Linked DNA regions of Alligator mississippiensis. Each later gene encodes a partner of the first gene's protein in a complex. Links are inferred from orthologs where the notes say so. Each region holds a gene or a part of one and is shown in the gene's direction. Other genes may lie near its edges.

What was found.
Region 2: the proteins of UBE2O (region 1) and NAP1L1 are in contact, whole or in part, in a cryo-EM structure (PDB 7UN6), measured with the Homo sapiens proteins. The link is inferred for Alligator mississippiensis from reciprocal best matches to the Homo sapiens genes UBE2O and NAP1L1. Residues at the interface, in NP_071349.3 of Homo sapiens: Ser225, Asn226, Val282, Lys283, Pro284, Val285, Lys289, Ser290, Lys291, Phe292, Arg293; in NP_001317160.1 of Homo sapiens: Arg333, Arg337, Thr343, Gly344, Glu345, Ala346, Ile347, Asp349.

Annotation. Positions count from the first base shown.
Region 1 is NC_081831.1:13,954,247-13,962,065, reverse strand, and holds the start of UBE2O ((E3-independent) E2 ubiquitin-conjugating enzyme), read left to right. Parts: upstream 1-4,627; 5' UTR 4,628-4,651; coding exon 4,652-5,050; intron 5,051-7,819. UniProt on the Homo sapiens protein: E2/E3 hybrid ubiquitin-protein ligase that displays both E2 and E3 ligase activities and mediates monoubiquitination of target proteins. Negatively regulates TRAF6-mediated NF-kappa-B activation independently of its E2 activity.
Region 2 is NC_081827.1:74,579,870-74,587,659, reverse strand, and holds the start of NAP1L1 (nucleosome assembly protein 1-like 1), read left to right. Parts: upstream 1-4,645; 5' UTR 4,646-4,753; intron 4,754-7,790. UniProt on the Homo sapiens protein: Histone chaperone that plays a role in the nuclear import of H2A-H2B and nucleosome assembly.

The DNA of each region.
Region 1 (7,819 bases):
GCATAAACTATGTGTTCAGTGTTCTGCTAAAGCAAATTGAAGCTGGGCCAGCTTATACCTGTAGAGAATTGAACCCGTTTTCCTCCTTGTAAGGAATCTGTGCACAGTTGTAGCTATCTGCATTTCTACTCCAACTACCACCGCGGTATCTGAGCACCAGAAAGACAAAGCTGTTCTTGAGTTCACATATCATCCCTGCACTGGGGTCAGGGACAACACCTATCCATAGACCAGGAGGACACACATTAGTAAATCAAGTCTTGCAACCACTGCTTTGTATCAGGGATGTGTTTTACTAGGGACGGGCTGTTGATCCACCAAGAGATGAAGGCCAGTGTTTCCAAAAATAACCGCTGATTTAAAGGTGTGTCTATTTTGGGTGCACAGTTTTACATGCTTCACTTTTCAGAACTGCTGAGTATTCACTACTGTAGCTGAGGAAACTGGGAGATCCAGGGCTTCACAGATAGTCTGAATTTTTGGCACAATTTGGGCATCTAGAATGTGACACAATTAAAATCAGCCGCTATTTCTTTTTTCACCTGAGTTCACTTGGCAAGTCATGGGTAGATTTGAGAACTGAACCCCAAATTCCTAAGTCTTACTACCATGGTCAACCTAATAGAAGCTGTTCCTTCCTCCTATCCTGTGTCCTTCCATGGGACAGAAAGCCAGCAGCAGTATGTCAGTCTGGAGAAGCAGCTCAGATGCTGTGCTACTGAGTCTAAAACCAAAGGTGATCTCTTTACCAACAAGTGAAGTGTGCTTCCATATGAGAGTACCTCAGAGCCACAGTTAGGAGTATAGGGAAGAAAATAGCTCTCACCTGCTCTGTTCCTGACAAACAAATACTCCTGATTGGGTTCCATTAAAACGCCTGTGTTGCATTTCTGGTGAACAGTTTCATCTCCCCATTTGCATCATACGGCTATGTACAACCTGAAGTCCAAACGGTGTTCTACAGAGGGGAATTACTCTGAATACCAGGTAGTTCCAAATAAACTCATGATTTATGCCCAGGAATAAATTATTTTTAAAAGCAGTGTTGGTACAAGCTGCAGAGAGAAGATGGAAAAAGCCTGGGGACTGCCAGAATGCTGCCACATAAAATCCTTTTCTGTCAACGATGGAAAGAACGTAACCACTTGTTCTAGTCCAAATTACCCAGTCCAGCGGAATCCTAAAGATCCTTTAATCCCTAAAGACTCGCTTCTGTTTCCAGTGACATCAGCCTGGTTTCAAAGGACACAGTATCAATGGCCAACCACCTTGCCATTGCCTTGAAGGTGAAGTGGCTATGCTGAGAAGGTGACCAGGACATGCAGACAAATTAGTAATCCCCTCCACTTCAGCCCCTTCCCTAGCACCATCACAGTGGAGTATCGCACATGAAGCACCATCAACTTCAAGTCGGGCTAGAGCGTGTTTTATCACTGAGTTTATGCCCACTGTTCCTCTCCCCTTGTGAGCAACTAATTAGTGGCTGTTACACATCGCTGGCCTCTATGGTATGCAGATAATGGCTTCATAGTATTAAAAGCACTCCTCACCCCTATTCATGAATGTTTTATCTCAACCTGACATATATAAGAGACTTAACATTTCTTTCTTGATTGATGCTATCCTTTTCTACCCCAAAAGACAATGAATCCTTCCACCCACTGCTCTGTTTCCAGGTGTGAAATCACAAAAGAAGCCATGATTAATGTTGAGAGATGCTCTTAGAGGCAAAATAACAGTGTTATAAAGCTATATCCTTTCCCTTATACTTAGAGATTAGGCTCCTAATATTTGGTTCTAGCTTTGCCAAACCTAAAAAGGAGGAAGAAACGATGGCTTTGTATCACCTTTGCAGTTTCCTAATTTTGAGACAACGGGGGATCATTTTATCACCACGCATATGCTAGAACAGTCCAAGAATTGATCTAGCTTCTACCTAGAGATTCCCAACAGCCCATTCTGGCAGCTGAGAACAGAAATGTAATACCTTGGCTTGCTATATCCTTTTCACTGATCTGACACTGCACGTGGTTGTAACTCTGGAAGATTGCTGGGGAAGTCAATCACGTCACTCCATATTTACCCTAGTCTGACTTGGAGTACAACATGAATCCTTTAAAACACACTTACATGCACAGTTGCATTCTGTCAACACAACTTGTTGGCATAAAGTTGGGAAACACACAGCCACTCTTTGGACTATGGGTGGATCTTGTCCCCCAGAGTCAAGGGGACCTGGAAATACGAGGGAGTATTTTTGCTGGTACTTGATTGCATTGCTGGATTTCTTTTCCTTTGGGAGAAACCTTGGGACTAACAACCATTCACTCAAATGGAAGAGGTCAAGTAATGGGCTTTGATCTGCAACATAGTGAGGAGCAGGTAGTAATGTTTGTGGCCTTTTCCACGGGATTTCATTCAACACACTAGGATCAGCCCCTAAGAAAATTCTGTCTCTTGTAAACATGAGTTTTACCCAAATTCCAAGAGGGACATTGTCAACCATCATCTTCATCCTGGAGTTTGAGGCACTATATTAGGTGCTCTGGGCCTAGGCCATGGAGTGGCTTGAAATTATTTGTATCTTTGGTCTTCTTTGCAGCCAGTGGAAATGCTCCCCTTAGGACACATGGGCCTGGCAGATTAGGCACTGCCTCAGGAGTGAGACCGGGTGGTGTTCTTTGTTTTGCAGCTGGTCTGGTGTCCAAGCTCTAGATACCTCTGCTTCTCCTACTCCTTGGGGCTCACGTACAGTCTATGGGTCTCTGAGACCATCTTCAGAGCAGGGCTGAGGATGAGAAAGGTGGCTTGAAACATGTTTAATCTACAGTTACACACCAATGAAACTTCCTCATCCCCTTCTCTTCTCCCCACAACAGAAATGGCCTTGCCCCTAAAGTGAAAGTTGAAACTACTCCATATCCCTCCCAGCTCATGAAAAACAGCATTTGAGGAGCCTCTCCCTCCCTTCCCAGAAGGAAACAAAGGAGCCGTGCCAGGCTATCTCCAACTCAGCTGACTTAAGCCTCTTCATACCAAGGTGAACAGTAAATTTCTCAGTTTATGGATATCAGGCTGCTGAGCACTCCCCCTCAGCTATATCAAGGAGGATTCAGCTCGAGTGCATCTGGGATCGTGGACAGCCATAGACCATTTAGCAGGTAGATCCAGACTCCCCAGCCACGTAGGGCTTTAAGGATTAAAACTAATACCTTAACCTCCCCCTGGAGACCTGGAGTCAGCCATGCAGACCCTAGAGCAGTAGGATCACAAGCTCACAGGGAGCTGGAGTAGGGGGGTCCTAGTGCAGCAGACCAGTCTCCAGGGCAATGTGCACCTGAGGCATCAGACGCCAGCTGGCAAAGGGTCTGGGCTGGCAGAGCACATGGAGACACGGGCTGTGCACGTGGGGCTACAGGTGGGGGAAGATCAGACAGGGAAGAAGGTTGTGGAGCCCTCTTCTGCTGCTGTTAGGCTGGGCATCAGCAGGGGCACCAGGAAGTCAGGCGAGGCCTGATGAAGCATGACCAGGGACCCCCAGCACGGCGCTGGACCAGCACACGGGGGTAAGGGCACAAAGGGATGCTGCTCAGTAGGGCTGGGAGGATGCAGGGGAGGGGGGCACAGGCACACGCATGCTCAGCCCTGCCCTGCTTGCCAGCACCTAATGCAGGATGTTTGCTCCTCCCCACCCAAGTCTTGAGACTTTATTTTGCAGAGGAAAAACATCTGTTTTATTCACGATTTCCCTTTTCGTTCAGTGCTGGCTAGGTCCAGATGCGGCACCAATTTCCGAGCCCTGTGACTCCAGGGCGATACAGAGATGGCCACCCCTGCCCTGGGGAAGGGCCTGGCACAGGGCGGCTCCTTCCACAACCAGGGGGTGACACCTTTCCTCTGCAAAATGAAGTCTCAAGCCTTGGGGGGGGAGCAAAAATCCTGCACAAGAAGCCCTCCGGCACGATGGCTGCTCCCCGGGAGCAGGGGAGCCGTGTCCCCAGACACAGAGGGGACTATAAGTCTATGAGGGGCGCACATCAGGGCCTGGGGGAGCATCTATTCACCAAGGCCCCCCCAGCAGAGGACAAGATACAATGGGTACAAAGTGTCTTGACGCCCACCTTGCTGGGGCATCTGACCCCAGCGGTCTGTCCTGCCCACGTGCAGGGGGGCTGGACCCGATGATCTGCAAGGTCCCTTCCAGCCCCTAACAACTATGACACCACGAGCGAGGTGGGCAGCACTCCTCTGCCACTGACTGAAGGCAGGGCCCTGCCCAAATCCCCTCGGAGAGACGCGTCTCCCGAAGGGGCGGGCCAACATCCGGCTCCCGGTGGCGGGCGGGGCTTACCGCAGGCAGGGAGACGTCACTCCCGGGCTGCCCGCGGTGGGCGGGGCCTCGCCGCCGGGCCGTGACGCGTCTCCCGAAGGGGCGGGCTAACATCCGGCTCCCGGCAGTGGGCGGGGCTACCGCTGTCTGGCACACGTAGCGTCCGAGCAGCCCGCGGTGGGTGGGGCCTTGACGCGAGTCTCGCCGTCGCGCAGTGGGCGGGGGCCCGCCTCCAGCCCCGCCCCCCCGGCCGTGACGCGACCTGGCCCCGCCCCCGCCGCCTCCTGCCCGCGGCGCCCCCCGCTCACGCAGACCGGCGCCATGGCGGAGCAGCCCGCAGCGCCCGCGCCGGCCCCGGCCCCGGCTCCGGCTCCAGCGCCGGCCGAGCCTGAGCCCGAGCCCCCCGCCGCCACCGCCGCGCCCGAGCCCCCCGCCGCCGGCTCGCAGCGCCTGCTCTTCTCGCACGACCTGGTGTCGGGGCGCTACCGGGGCGCCGTGCGCTTCGGCCTGGTGCGGCTCATCCACGGCGAGGACTCGGACTCTGAGGAGGACGAGGGCGGCCGCGGCGCCGGCGCCGGCGCCGGCAGCTCGGGCGGCTCCGAGTCGGGCGCGCCCGGGGCCGGCGGCGCGGACGAGAGCCGAGCCAGCCCCCTGCGCCGCGGCTACGTGCGGGTGCAGTGGTACCCCGAGGGCGTCAAGCAGCACGTCAAGGAGACCAAGGTGGGGCCCGGCCCGGCCCGGCCCGGCCGCCGCGTGAGCACCTCGGGGCGCGTGTCGAGCGGGACCCTGGCGTGCGGTGGCACACCACCTGCGTGCCGCGTGCGGGGCGCGCCCAGACCGCCCGGCCCCGCGCCTGTGCCTATTAAGTGGGGACATTAGCACACATGCATGTATTTGCCTAATGCCTGCCGATTAAGGTATGGGGGCTGCACCCCAAACCGCCCCGTCCCCTCCTCTGTCCCTGTTAAGCGGGGATACCTGTATATATTTGCATAATATCTACCTACTCATCAGTGGGGGCTGCGCCCTGAGTCCCCCGTCCCCGTGTATTCGTATATGAAGTGGGGATAGTCATATATTTGTACACCACCTTAGTCTTCATGTGTGAGGGTGCACCCCAAGCCCCCTCCCCTCCTATTTGCACGTTAAGTGGGGGTATTAGCACATATAATGTATCTCCATACTATCTATGTATTTGTCTCTGGTGGCTGCATCCTGAACCCCACCCCCATCCCTGCATATTTGCATGTTAAGTGGGGGCATTAGCGCATATAATATATTTGCATAGTGTCTATTTGTGTGCAGGGGCAGCACCCTGAACCATGCTCCCCATCCCCTCATATTTACTTATTAAATGGGCCCATTGGCATATATGTATATATTTGCGTAGTATGCATGTATTTGTGTGGGGGCTGCACCCCGAATCTCCCCATCCCCACGTATTAAGGGAATGTATTATGATATATGCATGTATTGAACCAGAACCCCCCCACGCCATAGTGCTCCCCACCCTGGCCCCAATCCTGGTGCAATGTGACGTCTGCCCGTGTTACCAGGCCGGGCCCCACCCGGATCTGAAATTCACTGGCACCCCCCAGTGCTGCTTGTCTCCTGCTAAAGTCAAGTTTTGCCCCCAGGTGTGCAGCCCCCCCATGCATCTGGGCTGGCCCGGGGTGTCAGGCACGCGCGTTGGCTGCAGCCATGTCTGAATGAAAGGCACATTGCTTGGAAGCCGGTCGCTGCCTCGGTGCGCGAGGGACGGGGGGACCCCGGGGGCCGCGGTGGCCTACCTCAGCCAGCTGAGCCTGTAGGCATGCCCCACAGCCACCCTGTGCCCCAGTTGCTGGGCTGCTTTGCACGGCTGCTGCTGGGAGCCAGCGCGGCCTGGAGTCGCCGTGGCTTAAAATAATTCCTCGTTTCCTTTGGAAGCGCAGCGGGTTCCTCGCGTCTGCTGGTGCTGGTGTGTTTGGGAGGAGGGGGAAATGAGCCACATCAGGTCTCGACATGTTCAAACTTGGTGTTGGATTCTGCTTGAGTCTCAACTACAGACCGTGCAGAGTCTAGAGGCAGCCACCCCGGGCCAGCCTGGGTTTTTTGGTTGAAAATGAGCCTCCCCTTCTTTCCCCACCCAAAGATTTGAAAACTGTTAGTATGTGAAGGTGAATTAAACTGTGAAGAGGTCATAAAGGAGTTTCTCCACTCTCGGTAGAAGCCGGTACAGCGTATATCCTATATCTCCTTCTCATATGGAATGTGTGAGATGTCTGTGCTAGGCTTGACCAGCTGAAGGTTTTAGACCAGGGTGGATTCATGGATTTACCCTTGTTTTTCTCTCCAGTGGTCCTTGCTGGCAGTCAGGCCTGTGTAAAGTTCAACCCCTTTACCCCTCTTTGAAGAGCTGCAAGGCATTGCTGGAAGGATTTGAGGCCTGCTTTTCCACTGCTCCCACTTCCCAAAGTTAGCCTAGTGGTGGGATTGTTACACACAGTGACTGATAATACAGGGGAGACAAAAGAGAGGGAGAGAGAGGGCACTGTATCATAATACAAAGGGGTCTGTGATGAATGGGCGTCACGCAGAACAAAACAGAAGGCCTGTGCTGTCCTGGCAGCAGAGAGGTTGTATTCTGCTCTGTGGGGCTAAGTGCAAGCATGCGCGCGCTCTCTGCACAGTCTTTGACCTCCCTCTGTAGAATCCTCCCTGGACTTCTGAAGCAATCAGTGCATTTGTAATTCTAGTAGAAATCGGTAGGATCATAAAATGCTAATGGTCTGAGCTAAATTTAGGGTCTGTCATCACCAGGCACGTGAACAGTTAAGGCACACAATATGAAATATAGAAGGCTATTAGTACTATGCACAGTATTTCTGCATTTATTTTTCAACCCTTCTTGGACTTGTGGTCCATCAGGCAATCGTTCCTTTTCACACGAAAATTCTTTTAAAAATGACTGGAGTTAAGCTCTTAAATCAATTTTTGGCACCTAAAGCATGAAGCTTCGAATTTAGGATTCATTATCAGGGTCCTTGAGTAGAAAATAGCAGTATCCATTTTCTCATGGCACCTTTTTTTCCTCTCTTCAGTATAGGCAGAAGGCTTGGCTCTCTTGCTATGAGAAATCAAAAGAGGTTGTTTAAATTAGTAGCCTTTTTCCTTTCTCTTTTATTGCCCTATTTCCTTTGCAAAGGTCAGAGACTTAACAGATAAAATGTGTTGTCGGGGGAATTCCAAAGTGCTGAAGGAATTTAGGAAGACGTATCCCTTTGACTTCTTGCTGCCCTTCCCCGTCTGAAAATTTCCCTCTACTCACCAAACTGAGAGGCCATTTGGTACAGTTTGGATTGCGTTTGTGATTCTGGTAAACCTTACAGGATATTTCATTTCACATCTGTTCACAGTTCATAAAACTGTGTATCACTTCTGACCTGAATGCTGCAGGTTTTGCTAACGCACGAGAAACTGATGGTTTTCATTGTCCAAACGTGAAGA
Region 2 (7,790 bases), on another chromosome or scaffold:
TTCTCTTCATTGCACTACCATTTGCCCTGAGAAACAACCTGAGGTTGTCCCAGGACAGCTCCCTGTCATAGAATCATAGGAAATCAGGGTGGGGAGGGAGCTCAGGAGGTCACCTAGTCTACCTCCCTGCTCAAAGCAGAACCAGCCCCAAATATATTTTCCCAGCCAAGGCTTTGTCTACCCAGGTATTAAAAACCTCCAAGGATGGAGATTCCACCACCTTCCTAGATAACCTGTTCCAGTCCTTTAACACCCTCCTAATGAGAGAGATTTTCCCTAATATCCAACCTAAACTTCCCTTGCTGCAACTTGAGACCATTGCTCCTTGTTCTGTCAGCTGCCACCACTGAGAGCAGTCTAGCTCCATCCTCTTTGGAACCACCCACCCATCAGGTAGCTGAAGGCTGCTATTAAATCCACCCTTCAGTCTTCTCTTCTCCAGATTGAATAAGCCCAAATCCCTCAGCCTCCCTCCTAAATAGGGACCTACGTAATTCATAGAGGTTGCCTCCAAAGTCACAGTCCTGGCATGGTGTTGGGTGTCATTTTCATAGTGGAGCGCCACTGCACCCATGCCTCTGATTGGCTGAGGGGCCCCAGAAGTCCCACCCTTCTCCAAAGATTGATAGGTGGCCACCTGTCAATCTCCAGGGAGGGATAGGACTTTTGGTGCCCCTTGGCCAATCAGAGGCATGGGGGGGCTCTTCTGGCCCTCCGTGGGGATTGACAGATGGTCACCTATCAATCTCTGGGGAGGGGAAGGGCTGCTGGGGCCCCTCAGAATCAGAGGAAGGGAGGGGCCTCTCCAGCTCCTCCCTGGAGGTTGATAGATGGCTATTTGTCAATCTCTGGGAAGGGGTGGGACTTGTGAGACCCCTCAGCCAATCAGAGGCATGGGGAGGGGCTGCCAGCTCCACCACAAAAATCTCCTCCTGCTCCCTCCCACTTCCCTCTCCCTTCCTGGGCTTCAGCACATCAGGGCTTCCTGCCTCCGTTTGCAGCTCCCTTCATTCCCCCGTCCCCGTTTTCCTGCTTTTTCATAGACCTACCAAATTTGCAGTTTCTGCAAAACTCATAAGCCCTGTTCCCTAGCCTTCTAACCATTTTTGTGGTCCTCTGCTGGACTCTCTCCAATTTGTACACATCCTTTTTGGAGTGGGAGGCCCAAAACTGGACACAGTACTGGAGATGTGGCCTGCCAGTACAGAATAGAGGGGAATAATCACTTACACTTACATTAATCTGCTAGGAACATCCCTCCTAATGCAGACCAGTATGGTGTTATCCTTCTTCATAACAAGGGCACACTCTTGGCTCACATTCAGCTTATTGTCGACTGTAACCCTCAGGTCTTTTTTTGCAGAGCTGCTGCTTAGCCAGTTGGATCCCAGCCTGTATGGGTGCATGGGATTGTTCCATCATAAGTGCAGGACTTTGCACTTGTCCTTATTGAATCTTATGAGATTTCTTTTGTCCAATCCTCCAATCCATTGAGGTCTCTCTGAATCCTAGTCCTACCCTCCAGCATATCTAGTATTCCCCCCAGCTTGGTGTCATCTACAAACTTGCATAGGTGCACCCTATGCCATCTTCCAGGTTGTTGATGAAGATACTGAACAAAACTGGCCCCAGGACTGATCCCTGGGGTACACTTGATGCCAGCTGCCAACTAGACATCAAGTCATTGATTACTGCCCTTTGGGCCTAACAATCCAGCCAGTTTTCTATCCACCTTACAGTCCGTTCATCCAACCCGGACTTCCTTAGCTCGGTTGTGAGAATGTTGTGGGAGACTGTATCAAAAGCCTTGCTAAAGTCTCAGTAGATCACGTCCACTGCTATCCCTGGATCCACAGAGCCATTTGTCTTGTCATAGAAGGCAACCAAGTTGGTCAGGCATGACTTGCTCGTGATGAATCCATGTTGACTGTCCCTAATCACCTTCTCCAAGTGTGTGTGTGGCTTCACTATTCCTGCACCTTAGTTCCTCTTACACCAGTTTCTGCAGCTGTAATGAGGGATTTTTGCCAGCCCCAAGTGGCTCCCACTTTTGTGTTTTGGAAGAATTATAGGTCACCTTTTCTGGGAAGAGAATCAGCCTGGAATATCTCTCACCTAAAAATCACTCTTTCCATTGGCCACTAGTAAGAAGCCAAACAGAGAAAGGATTCATTACATAGTATGAAAGAGCCATACAAATAATACAGACCATAGGTTTGGAGACAGAAACATAGAACAAGTGTAGATTCTTACCCTCTCATCTGGCTCCCCCTAGCCATCCATGAGAGTCTTTTCCAGAGGCCTTTCTGCTGACTCTGGCAGTTACACCTTGTAACTGGGGCCAGCAAACTCCCGAAGCCTGAGATTCAAAGATGAATATTCTAGCTCATCTAAGGTCATGCCTGTAAGCCCCCCAAACCCTCCCCATAATTAGCAGCATTATAACGATGATGAGTAACCAGAATCCCCCAGAAACTTCTGGTGTTCTTGGAGCACCTGGAGTCCTGCTGGCTTGATGGGCCATTACTCCTTATAGCCTTCACTACTATACAGTTCATTACCCATATCATAGTGAACAATGTCCAAGGGTGCCCATCCCACCAGCAGCCCCTTTCTTTTGCTATTGTGAGTAGCAATTTTTCTGGCCCTAGAAGCAACAGCAAGAGTTAATTAGGAGTTCTGCCCACTCTCTGAGTTCTCTGGCTCTTTAGGCGACCACCGATCCTCTGGATCATGGTGTACGCCTAAGAAGTCTAGTCAGGTGCTTGGTGAATCTGCTTGTGACTGACAAGCCCAGTTTGAAAGTGACACAACTTGTTACAAGTTTCACACAGCCATGTATTGTCTGAGTTGGAGTCCAAGTTTACAGCACACTATGTCCTTCTTTCTCACTTTGCTTCCATCCTCTGGATCAAAGCTGCTTCATGGTGAGCTGCACCCAGTTCCAGATGTTCCCTCCAGATTGGACGGGATTCTGCGTGCTCCTCCCAGCTTTCTATGCTGATGTCAAACAACTTATCATTTCTGCATGTGTTGTGGTACTGCCACAGAGCGCGACCCTTCTTTCTAGAACTGCCTCGAATCTCTCACTGTATCAAATATTCTTGGGGATATGGTGTCTTCCCATTCTCCTGACTTGGTCAAGCCATCACAACCTCCTCTTCTTGATGGCGGGTCCTGAGTGTGTCAGTCCTCCGTGCTCCAGCACCTTTGTTTGACATTTTGTCTTCCTACTTTGTTCTCTGGCTAAAACATCCAAAACCATAGAGATATACACAGCCAGCTTAACATAATCCATACAGTGATAGTAGCATAGAGTTGGCACAACACTTTTTAACTGGGATTTCAAATGAGCCCACACCTGCCCTATCAGTACAATAAAACACCAGAAAATGATGGCATGTCATGGAGCCCAAAACACAACAGGGTCTGCAGCACTAGGAATAACTGTTGTGGGGGAACAACCCTTACCCTCACCCTCCATTTTCTGTCTTTACATTTCTCCTTTAGGCCTGTCTCTCTCAGGTTTGCTGTCCCAGCCTGAATCTCATGATGTTATAGGGGACTAAAACTACAGAACAAGGTCCTTTCTCTGTTGATTTGCCCTGTTCCCCTACCACATTTCTCTCCAGATTAAGTAATGGCTTGGGGGGCATTTCTGTGGTCTGGCCACTTTGTGCGTTTCCTTCTTCTTCTGTCAGTAGATAACCTGTCAGCTCTCCCCCAGCCTGGTTCTGCAGGGCAGGGATGCTCTCTGTGAGGGCCTTTACAACACTATGAGGGAAATACTGGGTAGCCTGAGCAGCACAGTGCTATATTTATGCAGGCGAGGTTCTTTGGGTTACCTTGATATAGCAGCACAGTGCAGCCTGGGCAGCACAGTGCTCACCAGCTATGCCCATGCCACTGATGGTGTGGGCAGGTGCCCGCCCAGACTCAGGAGGCACCAGTCCCCTGTGTTTGCGTAGATGTGATCTTTTATTAAACCAACTAAATAGTCGGGAAAAAAAGGTTCTTTGCACAGTCTGGCACGGAAACAGCCTTCGTCAGGCAGAGGAATGCTCTGCTATACTGATGGGTTGTAGCCCTGCTGGTCTCAGGACAGGGGAAGGCGAGTTCTCTGGGTAGATGCAGTCTCTTTTATCAAGCAGACTGAGTACTGCTATAAGAGATCGCATCTACCCAAAGAACCTGGTCTCCTAGATTTTTGGCACGTGGCCTGAGGCGCCGGCGGCCTGTCCCGTGCCTCCGCAGCCAACGCCACCGGCCTGGCGGGATGAGCGCGGGCTCAGGCCAGCCCCGCCCAGGCAGGAAGCGCGTGCGGGCTGGGGGAGGGGCGTCACTCGCAAGCCCAGCAGCTCCCGTGCAGATAACGCGCATGAGCTCTGCTATGGCCAAGTTGAGGGCGGGAGAGGAGGGTGCCGGCTGCGCGCGCAGGCCTTGCTATTGCGCAGGCGCCCTGCCTGGCCAGGCTGTGCAGGCTGGGAGGGGAGAGTTCCCGCCGGCCTTCGGGAGGCGTTGGGGGGGGTGGAGTGCGCGCGCTCGCGTTGTCTTGGCGACAGGGGCGCGCGGGGAAGGGGAAGGGGGAGGGGGAGGAGGGAGGGGGCGGGCGCGCTGCGTGGTGACGTGAATTCTATATGAGCGCGAGCGGCGGGAGCCCGGGCCCTTTTACCGCCAGCCGCGCGGCGCCGCCTCCTCCTCGCTCCTGAGTCACCGCCGCCCCGGCCCGGTCCGGCTCCGGCCCCGCGCGCAGGTACCGCCGTGCGCCGGGGGAGTAGAGTGGGGCTGGGGGGCCGCGCCTGAGGGTGGCGCCCCCCGACCCGGGGCTGGGGGCGCCCCCCCCCCCCCCGCGCCCGTAGGCCGCGCCCGGCCTGCCCGGGCCCGGCAGCACGTTGGGCCAACCGGGCCCCACCGCCACGTGAGCTGGGGGGAGGGGGCGTGAGGGGTGGCGGACTGACAGGGGCAGAGCAGGGGAGGCCGCGGGCGGCCCCGGGAACGGGGGAGGGGGCGGGTCTGGCGGCCGCACGGCGCTCCCGAGAGGGGGGCGGCTCGCTGCGGCGGGGGAAGGGAAGGGCCGGCAGAGGTTTTGCATAGGAAGCGGCCTGCAGGGAGCAGGGTGAGGAGGGCACCTGTTCATCCTCCCCTGCCGCTGGGCCCCGGTCACCTTGACTCGAGCTGCTGGTTGTGAATGGTGAAAGTGCGCACTGGCCCTAAGGAAACCTTCCCTGAGAGAGACAGCGAGACGGCCCCCTGTGCTGGGGCCCAAGACGGTGCTGAATTTAAGATGCTCCTCCCCCCCCATCAGCTTCTAGACATGGCAAACTTACCTGTTTGTTTTCGTTGTGGTTTTCCACTTGCAGAATCCAGTTATTGGAGAGTTGCCTTAAATTCCTGCTCTGCCCCCAGCCCTCCCTGCTCTGCAGCAGGGTGAGCACGGGTGGGAGGGTGGGCTGACTCCTGCCATTTGCCCCCCAACACTGCTTGGCTGCTTATAGATGCATAGATTCATGCTTCCTCCCCTGCTGCCTGCCCCCACCATCTCCGGCTGTGCTCCCACCCCCACCCACCACTATTTACTCTCTGGTCCCAGTTTGACCACATGGCAGTAGTTACTCCAGCTTCACACTGTGCTGACAGGTCTGGGGCCTGGGCTGGAGTTGCCACCATCACTGCCATGTGGCCAGGCTGAGGCCCGCCCAACCATGTGCTCCAGGCTGGAGCCAAGGCCTGAGCCAAAGGAGCTGGGCAGGGGGAACAGTTTGTGACTCGGGGGGCTTCCCGCCTCCCCCGCCCCCTGTGTTAATTTGGGGAAAAATACGGTGTCTTGTAGTTGAGTACAAACAAGCTGTCAAAGTAGTAAAAAGATTGGAAGTTTACATTTTGATTAGTGTCTCAAGGGAATCAAGACATCAATCTCTTGGTGAATACTGGTTATGCTCTAGTATATGTTTCAAATATAAGGCTAAAGACTCGCCATTGAATGGTGTTTGAACACAAGTTGAATGTATCATCTGAATCAGGAGTTCTCAAACTGTGGTACATGTACCCCACGGGGCACGCAAGATATTTCTGGAAGTACGTGGGAGAAATTATGTAATGGTGGATTTAATTTTCATTATAATAATAGATGGCATATAAGGGGTTAAAATATAATTTCTATACTGGCAGCTGGTAAATCTGGAAGGGGATGTACAATAAGAAAAAGTTTGGGAACCTCTGATGTGAATTATATGATTTAGGGATGTAAATCTGTTGTATCTTATGTTTAAACTGGTACAGATCTAGTTAGTAATTATCTGATGTCTCAAAGAAAAAAAAGGTGATGCAAAAAGTGATGACGTTTGTCTAGTTTAAATTGCCTATTCATTGTTTTGTATATACATGTGGAACTGATCCAGAAAACAGTATTTTCAGAGTTGACACTGAACCAGCACTTCTGTATTAACCCAGGTCTTGGAAGACTAGAGTTCAATTACATATTCCACCATAAATTTCTTGTCCCCCAGTTTTTCCTCCAGAGTTCTGTAAAATAAAATAAGTGTGTATTTAGGGTGCACCGATAAAGATTTTCTTGGCCGATACTGATGGCTGATTATTAGCCAGCCATATTGGCCAATACAAAGCTGGTAGCTGATTTATAGGAATGCGGCGTCTGGCTGGTAAGTCCGGGGGGGTGGGGGGGGCAGGAGGAAGGTGCAGATCAAGGCCCCCACTTGAGGGAGGGAGTGGGGCAGGAGCAGGTGTTGCCCAGCTGGGGCTGTAAATGTTACCCCAGGGCGGGGTGCGGGACGGAGCTGCAGGTAGCTTGTCCGGGGTGGGGTGGGGGGGGTGGCTCCATGTCACTGCTTGGTCCTCGACTGAAGGCATGAGGGGCAAGTGCCTCCCCTCCCAGAATTGTGTGTTGGGGAAGGGCGGGCTTGGGGCTGCACCAGCCTCTTCCCGGAAGGTGGGAGGGGAGGTAGGCTAGGCCAGAGCTGTGGGTAGGGCTCAGGTAGGCTCAGCTGTTGCAGAGTGCAGTGCCTTGAGCAGGGACAGCACTAGGGGGCATTTGGGGGGCTATGACCACCCCAAAGTTTTCCATAGTGCCCCCGTAGCCACCTCTCCCAGCGCCACTGCTGCCTGCCCCATACAGCTGAACCTGCCTTGCCCCTGCCCTGACTACAGCCCTGGCCTAGCCCCCCTGCCAAAAAGAGGCTGGCACAGCCCCTGGCACCATGCCTGCAGCGGGCAGCCTGCCTTCACCCCACGCACAAGTGGGGGGGGTGGGCACACATGGCCCCCATGCCTCCACTGAGCGGCCCTCCCTTCTCCACCCCCCATGTCCGCCCGATGAGCCTCCGGCGGCTCCATCCCACACCCCGACCCACCTGGGCAGCAGCTGCCCCTGCCCTACTCCCTCCCTGTTGGGGCCTCAGTCTGCCCCCTTTGCTCCTTCCCCCCTGCCCCCCCCCCCAATAGACTTACTGGCCAGAGGCTGCTCTCCACTCTGCCAGGCTGCAGCATGCAGCTGCTTGCATGCACACAGCATTTATCAGTGACTATTGGCCAAAAAAAGCCAATTGCCAATGATGTTAATTTTTCTGTTACCGGTGCCCATCCAATTTGTGACTGATATATCGGTGTACCTCTAGTGTTTATACAAAAGTTTACTTCTAAAAGATATTTTGGGGTTAGGTGGCAATGATTATTAATTTGCTAACTGTGTGCATCTGCAGGCTAGTGTCTAGCTAAGCAGTATTAATAACTTATAATAATGAATTAAGTGAGTTATATCACTTGAAGCCAGAGAA